Linked DNA regions of Callithrix jacchus. The protein of the gene in region 1 interacts with the protein of each later gene in a biochemical or structural test. Links are inferred from orthologs where the notes say so. Each region holds a gene or a part of one and is shown on either strand. Other genes may lie near its edges.

The links.
Region 2: the proteins of LRRK1 (region 1) and CIMIP4 form a complex in vitro, tested with the Homo sapiens proteins (2 studies listed by BioGRID and IntAct, with this or other methods). The link is inferred for Callithrix jacchus from reciprocal best matches to the Homo sapiens genes LRRK1 and CIMIP4.

The regions. Positions count from the first base shown.
Region 1 is NC_133507.1:9,061,650-9,065,930, reverse strand, and holds the start of LRRK1 (leucine-rich repeat serine/threonine-protein kinase 1), read left to right. Parts: upstream 1-1,481; 5' UTR 1,482-1,604; intron 1,605-4,281.
Region 2 is NC_133502.1:207,893,173-207,895,443, reverse strand, and holds the end of CIMIP4 (ciliary microtubule inner protein 4), read left to right. Parts: intron 1-1,314; coding exon 1,315-1,425; intron 1,426-1,624; coding exon 1,625-1,722; 3' UTR 1,723-1,771; downstream 1,772-2,271.

The sequences.
Region 1 (4,281 bases):
TTAAATGCTGGGGATATAACGAGCTCAATACAGGTCATCTGTGTCAAATGTTAACTACGTACAATTTGCACGTTCTCCGTCACCTGGATTTTACTAATTCAATTATGGGTGGATGCAAAGATTTTGCTGATTGGTGAATCCTTCTCGTCAGCTTTGGGGAGAATACATAAAACAAGGAATGCTGGCGATGTATCTTCCTAGCCTATTCCCAAGCTCATTTTGAAGGGAAGCGGAGGCGCCCTGTCTGCATCGGCCGCGTTCCCCCTAGCGTCTGCCCGGGCCTTGGGCCTGCGCTCCCTCGCGGTGGCTCCAGGTGGCCGGCTGCGCGCCCTGGAGGAGCTGCGCCGCCGTCGCGGGGCCCACTCAGACCCGAGGACGCCACGCCCTGCAATTATTGGGAGCTTATCGGTAGCAATCACACGCGGGCTCCCGCAAACTGGTGTGAGGCCCTCCGGGGTGAGCACAGGATGGCAGAACTGCGCTCACCCTTTGGGAAGATCGCCCAGTGGCAGGAGTAGCCTGCTGGGAGCAGAGCAAAGCTGCTCAGTGGTCCCCTCGCCAAACAGGGACCCAAGGGGCCGCTCGAGGAAACGGCCCCGCGGTGTTCGGGAGGTGGTGTGGGGGCTCTGCAGCTGCCCGGGTGCTGTGACTTGGCAATGAGGGTTGGGGAGATTGGAACTAAATCCTGGGAATATGCGAGTCATAACATTCCAGGAGACGCGTCTACAGGGCGCCGGTCCTGGAGGGCGGGGAACCCTCTGCTTTTCCCGAGCAGGCCATTTTCCTGGGTGGACACGTGGAGTTCACGGGGAGGCCCACCTACAGCGTGGACGCCGATCTTTATTGTCTGCGTTCCGGGATTAGCCCCAGCAGCCTGACGCCTCCTTCAGAATAGGTTGAAACACGATACATCGCCAACTTTTCCAGTTTTATGTATTCCCCCCAAAGCCGACAATTAAACGTGATTCACCAAACCGCAAAATCTTTGCATCCATCCATAATTGAATTAGTAAAATCCACGTAATGGAGGTTGTGTAAATTGCAAATCGTTAACGCTTTAGAACTGTGTTCTATATTGCCTTGTAAAGGGCGGCACACAAATGAATATTCCCTGTCTTTTTTATTTCTACGGCCAGAGTCTACGGGCCCCATGCAAGTGAGGGGCTGTTCTGCCGAGGTGGCTGCCGCTAGAGCAGAGGATAGTGAAAGCGGGGCTGAGCGCCGCACCGACCAATCTCCTCGCCGCGCTTGCCCCTCGTGGAAGGAGCCGGGTGCCCGAACCTGGTACTAGAAGGGCCCGCGGGCCCCGGCGTCTCCCGGGACACCAGCAGTGGGGGTGATAGCCTGCGTTGTATGGCTAGGGAAACTGAGGCGGCCACCGAGGGGACGCCTCGCGCCCATTCTGGGGAGAGCCGGCGGCGGCCTTGCCTTGCGCGCTCCTCGCACCGCCCGCCCTCCCCGCCCGCCGGCCTCAGGATTGAGGAAGTGCGTCTGGGCCCGGCCCCGGCGCGCGGCCCGAGGCGCGGGGGGCAGACGGCGGTGGGAGTGCCAAGCCCGGCCCCGAGTCCCGGAGCGCCCGCACCCCGGCCCCGCAGCCGCCGCAGGTAAGTGCTGCTCCTGCCTGCGCCCCCGCCACCCCGGGGGCCTGGCTGCCTCCTGCGGCCGGGCCAGGAACCCAGCTGGGCCCGCGCCACGCGTCCGCGGGAAGCCCTGGCCTCTGCCTGCCCGCGGGCCTGAGCTCCAGGCGGCCGCGTGGTCCGGCAGGGGTGGCCCTTGCTCAGGGGCCGCAGCCCGAGGGGCGCGGAGGGCGTGGGGCGACCCCCGTCTGACGCCCCTGCTGCCTCCCGCCACGCCCGGAGCCCAGGCAGCCTGTGGGAGGCGGGTCTGCGGGGCCGGAGCCGTGAGCCCCCAAACCCTGTACCGGACGGGGTCGGGAACGCAGGGAAGCAGAGGCAAGAAACAAGTAGGGAAATACACCAGGGCGTCCATATGTTTCCTCTGCCTTTGGAGCAAACCCCGTCCTTATCGAGGAGCTGCTGGAGTGTAAGCGCCCGGGTGTGCATGTGCCAGGGTGTTGGCAAGAGACTCCCCAGGAGTCTCTCGCTGCTCCGGGGCGTCCTTGTGCTGCGGAGTGGCGCAGCGAGGCTTCAGCCTCCTTGGTTGATATTCTCTGGCTGATAGCGTTACCATTGCTATGTCTACCATGGTCTCCGCAGCCTACAGCGGACCCTCCAGGCAGGCAGGGACGCAGGGGAGGAAGCCTAGGAAGGCCGGGGTCAGCGGGAGATGATGGTGGAGAATTTGAGGACCGCTGTGGCCATCTCAGCCTACCCCTTCACAGTTTGAGGCCACGAAGTTTTTCTCCCACAAACACATCCCCTGCAACAGGTAGAGAAACAGGGGCACTCAGCTTTTAGCAAACCCTTTCACTGCCTACACTCATTTTAGAGTTTGCCACTCACTCACAGAGTATCAGAACGCCCAGACGTTAAAGAGACAGCAAGAATATGCACAATTTTGGAAAACGTTAACATTAAATGCCTCTTATGACCTGATTTTCTTCATCTTTGCCTATGCCCTGCAAGCAAAAATAACAACAAACTAACCTCACACCTAATTTGTTCCTAAAGGAGGTTTTGTGGTCAGCCAAAATGTCAATGTCTCCCAAATGTCAATGTCTCTGGGAGTGGCCTCACAGTCAACTCAGGTGCTCAGATCAAAAACATTCCGTCCATTGGATCCACCTCTAAAATGTGTCCTGGTCTTTCTCCTTTTTCCTTTTTTTTTTTTTTTTTTTTTTTTTTGAGAAAATCTCACTCTGTCACCAGGCTGGAGTGCAGTGGCACGATCCCTGCAACTGTCTGCCTCCCGGGGTTCAAGCAATTCTCCTGTCTCAGCCTCCCGAGTAGCTGAGACTATAGATGTGTGCCACCATGCCCAGCTAAATTTTGTGTTTTTAGTAGAGATGCATTTTCACCATGTTGGCCAGGATGGTCTCAATCTCTTGACCTTATGATCTGCCCACCTCAGCCTCCCAAAGTGCTGGGATTGCAGGCATGAGCCACCACACCTGGCTCGTCCCCTAAAAAAGGGGGCGGCCTGCCCCCCGCCCCTTCTCCAGAGTACCAGCATCTCTTTCTTGTAGGATTACAGTTCCCCCTCCCCACATAAACGCGAGTGTGTGTGTGTGTGTGTGTTTAAATGGGTAAATCAGACCATATCAGTCCTCTTTATGGAATCCTTCAGTAGCTTTTCCTTGCAATTGGCGTGCAATCCAGGAGACCTCCTTCTGCTCACAGCCCCAGCTGTTCCAGCCTCTGCTTTCTCAGACCACCAGGCCATTGCCCCCAGCCACCCTGGCTGAGCTCGCTGTCTAGCACTGGAATCTGTGTTGCTGCCTCCCAACTCTTCACACGGCCTCAGGAAGCCTTCCATGGTCACGCTCTGAAAATGCATGCTCTCTCTCAGGTCCCCTCACTCTGCAGCCTCCCTGCAGTCCCCACTGTGTACTCCTTCTTTATCTGTTTAATTTCTCCTTAATTACCTTGTGGTCTCTACTGGAGCACCTGGAGTCAGAGACTAATCTGTCTTGCTTACTGCTGCATTCTCATTCCCATAACGGTTCAGAGAGACACCCCACGCTCTGTGGCAGAGTGACTGGATGGGGAATGGACAGCCCTAACTTACCTGTGCTTTTAGACTCATGGAACACTTCTCTCCCCTAGGCTTTTTGTGCTCATCTGAGACTGAGAACAGCATATTCCTCTGGCCTGCACCTCCAAAGTATTTTGATGCCCACAAACCCATTAAACACATTTTGTAGGCAAGCCAACGTTAGTAAGGGATGCAAATAGCACTCAAGATTTCTAGAGTCGTGAGCTAACCATTTTGACCAGGATTTTGGTTCAAAAAGAAGTTGGATGATATGAATGAGCATGTCTAGAATGCTTTGTTGATAAGGGTCTTCTAACTCTTCAATATCGACAGTCCTTCCCAAGCCTTCTAAAATACTCGGGTTTCTCTGCTGTCAGAAACTTTATAGCAATTACTTAGCTCTCTGCTCCCCCACCAGCTTCACAAACTCATGAAGTTCCCTCCTCATAGAAGGAACTCAATAAGACATTTATAGAATGAATGACAGGTTCCTTTTTTTTTTTTTGAGATGGAGTCTTGCTGTATCGCCCAGGCTGGAGTGCAGTGGTGCAGTCTCGGTTCACTGCAACCTCCACCTCCCCCAGTTCAAGTGATTCTCATGCCTCAGCCTCCCAAGTAGCTGGGGTT
Region 2 (2,271 bases), on another chromosome or scaffold:
AGACATGGAAAAATTAAATAACTTAATTAAGGCCACAGAGGTAGGAATGGTTAGAGTCGAGATTTAAACCCTGCCAGTCAGAGGCTGAAGTTTAAATTCTTTTTTTTTTTTTTTTGAGACGGAGTTTTCGCTCTTGTTACCCAGGCTGGAGTGCAATGGCGCGATCTCGGCTCACCGCAACCTCCGCCTCCCGGGTTCAGGCAATTCTCCTGCCTCAGCCTCCTGAGTAGCTGGGATTACAGGCACGCGCCACCATGCCCAGCTAATTTTTTGTATTTTTAGTAGAGACGGGGTTTTGCCATGTTGACCAGGATGGTCTCGATCTCTTGACCTCGTGATCCACCCGCCTCGGCCTCCCAAAGTACTGGGATTACAGGCGTGAGCCAGCGCGCCCGGTCCCATATTCTTTTCTTTATATTGCATCCTAACGTTCATTTATTCTGGTATATCTTCCAGTTTGCCACTTTCTCTCAGCTGTATTTGATCTGCCATTTTACCTGTCCATAGAATTTATTTTTAAAGTATTATGATGGCAATTTTCAAACTGATGGAAAAGAAAAGAACTTAGTTTATGAATAGATGTTGCACACACCACCCAGCCTCAACAGTGATTAATACACAGGCGATCTTGTTTCATCTTTTCTCCCACCCATCCACTCCTACCCAAGATTATTTAAAGCTCCTTCTCCTGAGCTTGCTGCCCGGGCATCTTATTATCCATGGAGTTTAATTTTTTCAATTATCATATGTTTCATTTCTGAAATTCTGTTTGTTCTCTTACTAATCTATCTGCTGTTTCTGGATGGTTTCTTATTCCTTACTTATACTTTTATTCTCTCTTACGGCTTCAAACATTAAATATACTTATTTTGTATTCTGTGTCTGATCATTCAAATCTTTGCTAATTTGGGAGAGTTAGCCTCTGGCATTTCTGCTGACTCTTGATCCTTGCAACGTATTTGCTTGTGGGTGTTTGAATTTTGAACATAGAGACAAGTTTGCTTAAGTTACAGGTATTAGTTTCCACTTGCTAGATGCCCTGATGTATGCCCAGTAATTTTGTCTTCCCAGTCATGTAAGAAAATCTCATTTTTTTTTTATAGATGAAGACACCAAAACTGAGAGAGGTTAAAAACTTCTCTGAGGTCATACTGCCCATAAAGGATGGAGTTTGGCTTTACTTTAAAATCCTTCCCACTCCCCTTCCCTTCCACAATTTACCATCTGTAGAGGAAACTGACACCCAATATAAACCGTGGAGTATCCGATCGCCATTGACTTGGGCACTTGGGGTTTCTTCATGGTATTCCACAGGGGCTCCCGAGGAGACACAGAGCCTCATGAAGGCTTCCTACACCCCAGAGGTCATTGAGAAGTCAGTGCGGGACTTAGAACAGTGGCATGGCAGGAAGACGGATGACCTGGGTAAGTGGGGAGCTGCGGGTGATGGGAGGTGGGAACTGTCCTCCATGGGCAGGGTGTGTTGGCTCTACGGTTCAGAGAGAAACCAGAGCAGGAGACAGAGCCCAGGGGTGGTCTTGGAAGGGGTATGAGTCATCACCTGGGCACTCCCGAGACTGCTGGATGATCTGATCTGTGCTGGCTCCTCTCCTGCTCTCTGTAGGTCGGTGGCACCGGAAAAATGCTATGAACCTGAACTTGCAGAAAGCACTGGAAGAGAAATATGTAGAAAACAGCAAATCCAAGGGCTCAAAGTACTAGATTTGACACGATAGAGCTGTCCACTACTCAAATAAAATGCTAACAATAAGGAAAGGCTCAAGTCTGAGTCCTTCTCCTGAGCTTGCTGCCTTTCTTCACATTGGAGTGGGGACTGATGTGCGGGGTTGGAGAGACCAACAGGGGAAGATAGAAGCCTTGGGGGTCCAAACGATCCCCTAGTCCTCCCTCCTGCACACACGTGCGCACACACACATACCTTCACTCACTATCCCAGGAAAGGACATGAGAACTGAGCGCGACTCTGTCTCAAGCTCAGGGTGCCTGGCTTCTCCCACATGCCCTATGTGAAAGGGGTCCTCTAGTGGACACTGCTGGATCTTACCCTGCATGCTATCCCAAGGAGATGCCAATTCTTTCCAGACATCCATTCCTCCCCCATGAGACACGGATTTCAGAGGAATTGGCCACACACATTTCCTCTGATCTAGTGGTGGGTCTGATTGCTCTCATGGTAATACTTAGCCCCCACCCCAACCCCACCTCTCACACGTGATTGGTTCTGTCATGAGCATGGGACTTAATTTGGGC